Linked DNA regions of Callithrix jacchus. The protein of the gene in region 1 interacts with the protein of each later gene in a pairwise test. Links are inferred from orthologs where the notes say so. Each region holds a gene or a part of one and is shown on either strand. Other genes may lie near its edges.

Evidence for each region. The genes of interacting proteins can lie anywhere in the genome.
Region 2: the proteins of PTK6 (region 1) and CCDC33 interact in a two-hybrid assay, tested with the Homo sapiens proteins (2 studies listed by BioGRID and IntAct). The two-hybrid records come from large-scale screens. The link is inferred for Callithrix jacchus from reciprocal best matches to the Homo sapiens genes PTK6 and CCDC33.
Region 3: the proteins of PTK6 (region 1) and FCHO1 interact in binary tests that used the Homo sapiens proteins (3 or more experiments, as listed by UniProt). The two-hybrid records come from large-scale screens. The link is inferred for Callithrix jacchus from reciprocal best matches to the Homo sapiens genes PTK6 and FCHO1.

What each region holds. Positions count from the first base shown.
Region 1 is NC_133506.1:59,026,418-59,029,934, reverse strand, and holds part of PTK6 (protein-tyrosine kinase 6), read left to right. Parts: coding exon 1-134; intron 135-971; coding exon 972-1,133; intron 1,134-2,949; coding exon 2,950-3,131; intron 3,132-3,517. UniProt on the Homo sapiens protein: Non-receptor tyrosine-protein kinase implicated in the regulation of a variety of signaling pathways that control the differentiation and maintenance of normal epithelia, as well as tumor growth.
Region 2 is NC_133509.1:21,176,536-21,180,052, reverse strand, and holds part of CCDC33 (coiled-coil domain-containing protein 33), read right to left. Parts: intron 3,100-3,517; coding exon 2,933-3,099; intron 2,557-2,932; coding exon of another isoform or gene 2,455-2,556; intron 1,921-2,454; coding exon 1,834-1,920; intron 817-1,833; coding exon 703-816; coding exon of another isoform or gene 619-702; exon of another isoform or gene 1-618.
Region 3 is NC_133523.1:16,516,351-16,520,272, forward strand, and holds the end of FCHO1 (F-BAR domain only protein 1), read left to right. Parts: intron 1-1,243; coding exon 1,244-1,299; intron 1,300-2,573; coding exon 2,574-2,947; 3' UTR 2,948-3,411; downstream 3,412-3,922. UniProt on the Homo sapiens protein: Functions in an early step of clathrin-mediated endocytosis. Has both a membrane binding/bending activity and the ability to recruit proteins essential to the formation of functional clathrin-coated pits.

The DNA.
Region 1 (3,517 bases):
TCACTGGGACTACTGGGAGAGGCCCAGGGAGGAGTTCACGCTCTGCAGGAAGCTGGGTTCTGGCTACTTTGGGGAGGTCTTCGAGGGGCTCTGGAAAGACCGGGTCCAGGTGGCCATTAAGGTGATTTCTCGAGGTGAGTGGGCCCCGGCCAGGGCTCTGCCTGGCCCCGTGCCCGCCTTGGGCTGCCCTCTTGCCCCCAGGGACCTCCAGGCTGGAGCCCCACGGACCAGCAACAGCATCCGTGTGGGAGCAGTTCCCTTTCTAATGTACCTTTGCTTTTACCTAAATACAATTATTAAAAAAATTTGTCTGGGGGCGGTGGCTCATACCTGTAATCCCAGCACTTTGGGAGGCTGAGGCGGGTGGATCACCTGAGGTAGGGAGTTCGACACCAGCCTGACCAACATGAAGAAACCCTGTCTCTACTAAAAATACAAAAAAATTAGCTGGGCGTGGTGGTGCATGCCTGTAATCTCAGCTATTTGGGAGGCTGAGGCAGGAGAATGGGTTGAACCCAGGAGGTGGAGGTTGCAGTGAGCTGAGATTTCGCCATTGCACTCCAGCCTGGGTGACAGTGTGAGACTCCATCTCAGGGGAAGAAAAAAAAAAAAAAGAAAATTAAAAATCCTGGATGTAATGGAAAGCCACTCAAATAGATCCCTGGAAATCTGAAAAGCTTCCCCTGAAATCACCTGGGCCTCAGCAGAGGTCTGGCCTCCATGTCAGAGGTCTGAGCCTGGGGGGGCTGTGTGGTAAGAGCAAGTGGCCATCATGACCCCGTGGGAGCGCCGGGCTGGGGGCCTGCAGGGCTGGCTGTGATCACCATCATCGTGGCCTCAGGAGCCAGGTGCCTGGGGCTGGAGGTCCATGTGTCCTACACAGCTGCTGTGGGTGGGGGCAGGGCCTCGGCCTCTTCCTTGGTGCCTGGGGGTTCAGGGACTGCACCCACCGAGGCCACCTGTCCCTGCAGACAATCTCCTGCACCAGCAGACGCTGCAATCGGAGATCCAGGCCATGAAGAAGCTTCGGCACAAACACATCCTTGCGCTGTATGCTGTGGTATCTATGGGGGACCCCGTGTACATCATCACCGAGCTCATGGCCAAGGGCAGCCTGCTGGAGCTGCTTCGCAGTGAGTGGCACCGGCGCCAGGCGGGGCACATGAGGAAATGAAGTGTATGTCCCCTCATGTCTATACGCATACGCACACACAGACACACACACAGACACACATGCACGTACAGATGGCACTGGCAAGCCCACCCCCCATGCCTATACACACACACTCAGATACACATGCGCACACACAGACACACACGTACACACACAGACATATACAGACACATACAGATGGCATTGGCAAGCTCATCCCCCACACCTACACACACACAATGTACACACATGGACACACATGCACACACACAGCCACATGTGCACACTGATACACATATACACACAGACTCAGATGGCATTGGCAAGCCCACCCTCCACGTCTACACACACATGCACACAGATACAGATGGCATTGGCAAGCCCACCCCGCCTATACACACACACACTCAGACACACATGCACACACAGACACACACACAGACACACACAGATGGCACTGGCAAGCTCATCCCCCACACCTACACACACACACAGACAACGCACACACATGCACACAGACACACATGCACACAGACACACATGCACACAGACTCAGATGGCATCGGCAAGCCCACCCTCCATGTCTCTACACGCACACACTCACACGATGCACACACACATGCACACAGACACAGATGGAATTGGCAAGCCCACCCCCAACGCCTACACACACACACACACACATGCAGTCATACGCACACACACACACAAACTGACACACACAGATGGCATTGGCAAGCTCAGCCCCCCACTCACACACACATTCAGACACAGAGACACAGACACACATGCACACGCACACACAGACACACAGATGGCATTGGCAAGCTCACCCCCCATGCCCATACACAAACACACACAGATGGCATTGGCAAGCTCATCCCCCATGCCTGCACACAGACAATGCACCACATGCACACACACAGGCACACATGCACTAACATGCACACACATACTAACACGCACACACAGACACAACACACGCACACACATGCACACACAGACATGCACACACATGCACACACAAACACAGATGGCGTTGGCAAGCCCATCCCCCTGTCTACACGCACACATGGAGAGACACATACACAGATACAGACACACACGGACACACGAATCACACTGGCTCAAGGACATCATCATCTCTAAGTTCCATTATTTTTCTTTCTTTGTTTTTATTTTTTTCTTTCCATTATTTTTTTTTAATCACTAAAACCAAAGACACGGGCTCCAGGGAACAGAGAGGCCCCTCGTGAAGGTGCAGTTTGGCTTTGGACCGTCACATGGGAGGGGACGTGGTGGGGCAGGAAAAGCTGTGTGTGCCTGGGGAGAGCTATGCTGACACACCACTCACAGTTGAGCTCTGAGCCAAGGCTCCATACCCTCATCCTCACACAGAGGGCTTGATCATCTCAGTCCCCATGCCAGGCAGGGCTCTCCGGAAACAGAACGCCGCACGCTGCTGTCACTCAGACGTTCTCCCGAGTTCCCACTACGCACATCCCTCGGCAATGAGCGTCTCCAATCGGCAATGAGTGTCTCCTCCTGTGTCCAGCTTCTCCGTTGCCATCGAAAACCTCCCCAACCAGGATCTGCTTCTTGGTTCCCCATACACAATTGCCTTCCAGAGGGTGGTGGCTGGCCCGAGGTTAATTTTAAACCAGGCCAGCTCTGCCCTTTGCCCCAGCCGGTCCTCTGAGCCCGCAGAGCCTGGAGGCAGATGGGACGTGGCCTGGCCTCCACCCCGTCCTCACCCCAGTGGGCTCGGCTGACCCCAGGCTCCACCCCCTCTGCAGACTCTGATGAGAAAGCCCTGCCTGTCTCGGAGTTGCTGGACATTGCATGGCAGGTAGCCGAGGGCATGTGTTACCTGGAGTCGCAGAATTACATCCACCGCGACCTGGCCGCCAGGAACATCCTCGTTGGGGAAAACACCCTCTGCAAAGTCGGGGACTTCGGGCTAGCCAGGCTCAGCAAGGTAGGGCCCTTGGAGGGCAGGGGCAGAGGGCTCAGGGCTTCCTGTGTGGAGCAGGGGACTCAGCCAGGTGCAGGATTTGGCCCCTGCCCTCGGGAGCCCAGGCTGAGCAGAAAGGTGGGAAGCCGAAGCAAGTTGGGGGGGTGTCCCCATTCCCAAAGGAGCACACAGCAGGGCCCACCATGCAGCCACTGCCTTGTTCACGTGCCTCGTTCACTGGCCCAGCCCAGGAGCCTTCCAGTTCCTGTGCCCCAAGCCCTCTCATCCTCATGCGCCTGGAATCCCAGGGGAAGCTGCTCTCCTGAAGGCGCTCAGGCCCCAACGCGAGCTTAGCCACAGCGGCTGATGCCCTGTGTGTGGGTCCAACAGTGGGGTCATTATGGTCCCAC
Region 2 (3,517 bases), on another chromosome or scaffold:
CATGCCTGCAGTTTTCTAAACCCATTTCGCCATGTTGACACCTGTTTTCTCCAGGATCCCCCAGGGCTCAGGTGAGTGTGTAAAGGTAGCCTTTGCTCCTTGCCTGATTCCTCATCCTTTCCCAGGAGCTGCTGCTGAGCTCTGGCCATGGGCAAAGCACAGCCATCTCAAGAGCAGGAGAAATCAGGGTCTTTGCTTTGCGGGGCTGGGCAGCCCTGGGGTTGAACTTGAGGGGCCGTTGTGAGCAGGCCTGTCTGTTCTTGGGAAGTCGGCAAAGTGGAGCCTACATCGTGGCCACCTAAGAAGGGTGTGCTAATTTCTGAGGCTCTGTGTAGTCAGGGAGGTAGGGCCGCAAGCCGCTCTGCCTATGTGTGCAGCCAGTTCTAAAGCACTCCCAGAGCCAGGGCATCCCGGAGATGCCAGCGTGGCCCCTCACCCACCGTCATCTCCTCGAGTTTCACAGCACTCCATGGGGGAAGGGGTGGTCTTGGCAGGGGTTTTCTGTTCTACTCAGACAGGTGTGGGACTTGAGACCAAGCCTTCGGTTGGTAACAGAGCAGGAACAGGAGCCTAGGACTCCTGACTCCCAATCCTGGAGTTGGCCCCGCAGTGGTTTTCTCAGGGCCCAGTGACTTTGGGGGTGGGGTGGCTTCCTTCTCCACCACTTGAACCCCCAGGAACTCCTCCAGGGGGGTCACTCACAGGCTGTCCTGTGAGGATGGAGTTCGAGGGATGCCTGAAACCGTTTTCTTGTTCCTGCAGCCGTGTGGCTAGATCCTGCTTCTCTCGTCCCCAGCGTCGAGCTGAGTCCTCTAACTGCAGGCATAGATAGGAATAATTGGAGGATCATGGGCAGCAGGGCTAATCCCTGATGGCCAGGACAACCAGGGCCTAAGCCTGCTGTCCAGGCAGAATGCAAAGCTCTGGGTCATGTGGGCTTGACACCTTCCCAAGAGACCTCGGGGTGGCAGGGATGAGGGTGAGGGGGCCAGATAGTCAGGCAGCCTGACAAGACACAGATGGACATTTCAACAATATATTGAGCCCTGATCCTGAGTGCACACTGATCCCTGATTCTGGTCATAGAGAGTCTGACCCTGGTCACACACTGAGCCCTAACCCTAGTCACACACTAACCCTGACCCTGGTCACACACTGAGCCCTGACCCTGGTCACACACTAACCCTGACCCTGGTCACACACTGAGCCCTGACCCTGGTCACACACTAACCCTGACCCTGGTCTCACACTGAGCCCTGACCCTGGTCACACACTGAGCCCTGATCCTGGACACACACTGAGCCCTGATCCTGGACACACACTGAGCCCTGATCCTGGACACACACTAAACCTGACCCTGGTCACACACTGAGCCCTGACCCTGCTCACACACTAAACCTGACCCTGATCACACACTGAGCCCTGACCCTGGACACACACACACTGAACCCTGACTCTGGTCACACACTGAGCCCTGATCCTGGTCACACACTGAGCCCTGATCCTGGTCACACACTAAGCCCTGACCCTGGACACACACTGAACCCTGATCCTGGACACACACTGAGCCCTGACCCTGGACACAGACTGAACCCTCCCTGGCTTTGGTCACACACTGAACCCTGACCCCAGTTGTATCTGAGCCCTGACCCTGGTTGTACCCTGAACCCTGATCTCAGTTGCACACTGAACCCTGACCCCGTTGCACACTGAGCCCTGACCCTGGTCACACACTAAGCCTTGATCCTGGTCATAGACTGAGCTTACTGAGCCCTGGTCATAGGCTGTGTGGTGAGCCTGGTCCAGCCTCATCAACCCCTGCATCTCCCCCACCTGGCTTTCCAGGGACAGGATCCGACTCTGAGCTCGTTCCAGCTTGGCCAGGAGGTTGAACCTGTCTGAAGTCTCAGAGAGGAGATCCTGTGGGCAAAGCGGAAACTCAAGTTTGGCCCTAGCTGAGGGCTGTGGCCGGTGTGAGGTCGGGAAACTGCAAGGTATTGGGGGAGAAACCAGTCAGTTCTGAGTTCAGACTGAGCTCCCGAGGCGGGCCTTAGACCTGGGCCCAACCCTCTTCTGGAAGTTCAGAGCAGGGGTCTGGCATGTGCTTTTTTCACAGCTGTTTCCTGCACAGACTTTGGAAATATGAAGTTTTGACACAACAATATTTTAATGTAAAACGCATTTGGGAGCCTCTGGGTGAGGTGAGGAAGCTGTGAAGCAGCTGACCTCATCCCTCACACTTTACCTGGATGTCCATATGGCATGTGGGCTTTCAAACAGAACTCACCTCCAGCGAGTCCTGGGATGGAGAGAAAATTCTCCTGTGCCCCTGCCCTGTTCGATCTTCTGTGATTCCAAATGTTCTGCCTTTGGGTTTATGTAAAGTAGGGGGCACCTGAAGCAACCTCAGAGGTGGAGCAGGGCCTGGGTGTTTCTGGGCCCTGGGCCACCCACCTGTGCAGGCAGCGTCTGTGTGCACTTGGAGTGGCCTAGGCCATGCGTCTCTTGCAGCCTCTCTGCCAAGTCTCCTCCTGCTCCCAACTCCCTGGGGTCCACCTGGGATGGAAAAGGGCTCTCCAAGGCTGCACCAAGATCAGGGAATTTCTGCTCCAGAAGGGAGTTTTAAGAGGCCTGTGTAGGATCCAGGTGGAGGCCAGCCAGGTGGCAAAGGGGTCAAAGTTTGGGGGCCAAGGGTCAACAATCGGCTTGCTTTCTCCTGGGACGCTAGATGAGGATAGAAGGGAAGAGTTCGGGTATACACATTTCTCAGGAGAAAAAGAGCAAGGCCTGAGAGCTGATAGGAGTCGCTAGGCAGACTGGAGACCCTAGGAGGCCTAGCTCCTGGTCTTGATCTTCAACTTGGGTTGTACTGTGGGTGATTGCTGGGCACCCGGTGACCAGCACAGGCAGGCCCAGGCCAAGGGCTTCTTACCGGCAGGTCCTGCTGCTGCAAAATGATGGGGGCTGGCTGGTGGCGGTTCTTATCCAGCTCTGCCCGCAGCTTCGCATTTTCTGCCAGCAGCACAGAGTAAAGTTCAAGCGGCAGGTTCTCTCTCGTAGAACCGAGGGGCAGGCCAGAGGCTGAGAGCCCAGGGAAGCCTAGAGATACAGCCACCGATGTTGGGGAGATGGGCTCTCCTGCCTCCCACATCCCTGTGCTGATCTGCCCCAGCATTTTACTTCACTCTGCCACTCCTCCCCTCTGCTCCCAAGCCTTCAATGGCTCCCTACTGCCAGCTGGATCAGGTACACACAGGCTTTAGACTCTGACCCCAACGTTCTTGTTAACTCCTCATTTGTCTTGGATGTATTTCAGCTCCTCACTTCTCTCTCTTCCTCCCTTCTCTGTTCCTGGCATTCTTCTCACTCCCTGGGCCTTTGATCTGGCTGTTTCCCTCCCTAGGTTGCCTCCTCAGTTTCATCCAGACTCCTGGATGACCTCAGGCTTCCCGAAAGGCCAGCCCAACTTTCATTGCTTTCTAAAGGTCCCTAGAAACACCCTCCTGCCCCTGAAACC
Region 3 (3,922 bases), on another chromosome or scaffold:
GATCCACCCACCTCAGCCTCCCAAATCCAAAGTACTGGGATTACAGGCATGAGCCACTGCACCCGCCTTCCAAAAAATATTTTAAAAAGTAGTCAGGCTTGGTGGTGTGCTCCTGTAGTCTCAGCGACTTGGGAGGCTGAGGCAGAAGGATCGCTTGAGCCCAGGAGTTGAGGCTGCAGGGACTTAGCCTGGGTGACAACCGTCTCTTTTTTTTTTTTTTTTTTTGAGACAGAGTTTCGCTCTTGTTGCCCAGGCTGGAGTGCAATGGCACCATCTCAGCTCACCGCGACCTCCGCCTCCCAGGTTCAAGTGATTCTCCTGCCTCAGTCTCCCAGGTAGCTGGGATTATAGGCATGTGCCACCACGCCCAGCTAATTTTGTACTTTTAGTAGAGATGGGGTTTCTCCATGTTGGTCGGGCTGGTCTTGAATTCCTGACTTCAGGTGATCCGCCCACCTAGGCCTCCCAAAGTGCTGGGATTACAGGTGTGAGCCACTGTGCCTGGCCAGAACCCTCTCTTAAAAAACAAAGATTAGGCTCTCACCAGCAATCCCAGAACTTTGGAAGGCCGAGGCGGGCGGATTACCTGAGGTCCGGAGTTCGAGACCAGCCTGGTTAATACGGCAAAACCCCATTTCTACTAAAAATACAAAAAATTAGCCAGGCATGGTGGCACATGCCTGTAACCCCAGCTACTCAGGATGCTGAGGCAGGAGAATCGCTTGAATCCGGGAGGCAGAAGAATCGCTTGAATCCGGGAGGCAGAGGTTGCAGTGAGCTGAGATCGCACCATTGTGCTCCAGCTTTGGCAACGAGGGTGAAACTCTGTCTCAAAAAAAAAAAATTAAGAAAAAAAGGTGTGTCTGTTGTAAAGAAGCCAGATTTATAGGACAGAATGCATCTAAAAGTGCTGCAGGGAGGCTGGGCGCGGTGGCTCACACCTGTAATCCCAGCACTTTGGGAGGCCGAGGCGGGTGGATCGCCTGACGTCAGGAGTTTGAGACCAGCTTGGCCAACATGGTGAAACGCCTTATCCACTAAAAACACAAAAATTAGCCAGGCATGGTGGTGGGCTCCTGTAATCCCAGCTACTCAGGAGGCTGAGGCAGGAGAATCGCTTGAACCTGGGAGGCAGAGGTTGAAGGTTTGCTGGGGTCACACAGCCAGGAGGCAGCGGAGCTAGGACCCGGGGCTCTCAGCATCCTCTCTGGAGAAGCCCTGACGGAGACTCTCTCATTGCCAGGAACCTGGAGGAGAAGCGGCTCACATGGAGGCTTCCAGATGTGTCTGAGGCAGGGGGTGAGCTTTGGTTGTGCCTGAGGGCCTGGGGGGAGGGCCTGGGGGGAGGGACTGCGGTCAGGTGGGTGGCCCTTATTTGCACTCGGGTAGAATTGGGGTATATGGGGTTCCGACACGGGCACTGAGGAAGGCTTTGGCAAGCTGGAGGAGGGCTGGGCGGGTGCTCTGCAGTGTTCACTTGAGCCCGGGAGTTGGAGGCTGCAGCGATCAACTCACGATCGCACCGAGGCACTCTAGCCGGGGCAACAGGTGCCAGACTGTGTTCTAAAAAACAAAGCAACCAACAAAAAACGCCGGCGCAGTGGCTCACGCCTGTAGTCCCAGCACTTTGGGAGGCCGAGACGGGTGGATCATTTGAGGTCAGGAGTTCTAGATCAGCCTGGCCAGCATGGTGAAATCCTGTCTTTACTCAAAATACAAAAATTAGCTGGGCATAGTGGCAGGTGCCTGTAATCCCAGCTACGGGAGGCTGAGGCAGGAGGATCACTTGAACCCAAGAGGCAGAGGTGGCAGTGAGCCAAGATAGTGCCACTACACTCCAGCCTGGACGACAAAATGAGACTGTCTCAAAAAAAAAAGCTGGAGGAGGGCACAGTTCTGTAATCCCAGTGCTTTGGGAGGCCCAGATGGGAGGATCACTGGAGCCCAGGAGTTAGAGGCTGCAGTGACCTATCATCGCACCACTACACTTCAGCCTGGGCGACAAAGCCAGACCCTGTCTCTTAAAAAAAAAAAAAAAAACTAGGCCGGGTGTGGTGGCTCACTCCTGTAATCCCAGCACTTTGGGAGGCTAAGGCGGGTGGATTGCCTGAGGTCAGGAGTTCAAGACCAGCCTGGCCAACATGGTGAAACCCCATCTCTACTAAAAATGCAAATATTAGCTGGGCATGGTGGCGGGCACCTGTAATCCCAGCTACTTGGGAGTCTGAGGCAGGAGAATCACTTGAACCCAGGAGGCGGAGGTTGCAGTGAGCAGATATCTCACCACTGCATTCCAGCCCAGGCAACAGAGTGAGACTCCATTTCAAAAGAAAAAAAGGTGGAGGTGAGGGTGTCCCAAGTCCAGATGGGCAGACACAGCAGGTGCAAAAGCCCTGAGGCAGGACCCCCCGTGCCAGCCACACAAAGCCCAGTGATGCCAGGAGAGATGGATGCAGGGGACGGAAGGGACATCTGATGAGGCACATGAAGGCCTCGGAACAAAGGGCTTCAGGCTGGTTCACAGCTGGGCCTGGGGCCGAGGCCGGGGCACAGCTGACCACAGGCCTCCCCAGGCTCTGGCCGCCTCTCTGCCAGCTGGGAGCCGCTCTCGGGGCCCAGCACACCCAGCCCCGTGGCCGCACAGTTCACCAGCGAGGGGGCCACCCTGTCGGGCGTGGACTTGGAACTCGTGGGCAGTGGGTACCGCATGTCGCTGGTGAAGAGGAGGTTCGCCACAGGTACTCCCCAACCCTGCTGCCGGGGGACCCCAGGAGCCGGGACCTGGCTAGGGACAAGCAAGCCCCGGGCTGGCTGGGAGGGGCGGGGTGTGGAATCCGTGGTAAGGACAGGTGGGTGTTGGGGCCAGGAGACCGCAGATGGGGGCCACAGGTGGGGAAGGAGTCAGGGCCCCATGTGTCTTGGGCTGGCCTCTGGAGGACGTCCTTGAAAGGACCCAAGCCAGCCTGGTGAGATGGCTCATGCCTGTAATCCCAGCACTTTGGGAGGCCAAGGCGGGTGGATCACCTGAGGTCATGAGTTTGAGACCAGCCTGACCAACATGGAGAAACCCCGTCTTTACTGAAAAAAAGAAAAATAGAAAAAAAATAGCTGGGTGTGGTGGCACCTGCCTGTAATCCCAGCTACTTGGGAGGCTGAGTCAGAATCGCTTGAACCGGGGAGGTGGAGGTTGTGGCGAGGGCCATTGCACTGAGCCTGGGCAACTGGAGGGAAACTCTGTCTCCAAAAAAAGAAAAAAAAAAGAAAGGACCCAAGCCAGGGAGCTCAAAGTCCCCCTGCCACCCCCTCCTCCTGCCCCACCCTGCCCCCATCAAGGGGCTCCTGGGGCCCAGTGGCAGGAGGGACAATGAGTTATGGGGGTGTTTTGAAGAGGACAAGGATGATTGAAGCATCACAGGGTGGGAGCAGGGGACCCCTCCGGCACCCCTCCTCCATGCCCCTCCCCTGCACCCCTCCGGCACCCCTCCTCCCTGCCCCTCCCCTCCCGTACCCTCCTCCCCCCTCCCCCCTCGCCCCCCACCCGTCCTCCCCGCCCCTTCCCCTCACAGCCACGCCCCCACAGGGATGTACCTGGTGAGCTGCTGAATCCGCAGACGCTGCTGTCCCAGCTCTGCACTGCGCCCTGGTGCTGGTTGACCGCCCCCTGCCCTCCAGCGGGACCCTGGGGCCTCCCACCCCAGCCTCCCTGAGGCCCAGACTCTGCGGAGAGGAGCCCCACGCCCAGCCTGGCTGAGCCTGAGATTCACTCCTCCCCCTCATGCCAACCCCACACAGGTCCTGGCCTTTTAATGTTCTTTGAATAAACACTTTATTTTCTAATAAAATCAAAAAGGAAAACTATTCCTGCTCCATGAAGTGTCCTTTGCGTTGTCAGAGACAGGAGGAAGAGGAGGAGGATGGATAC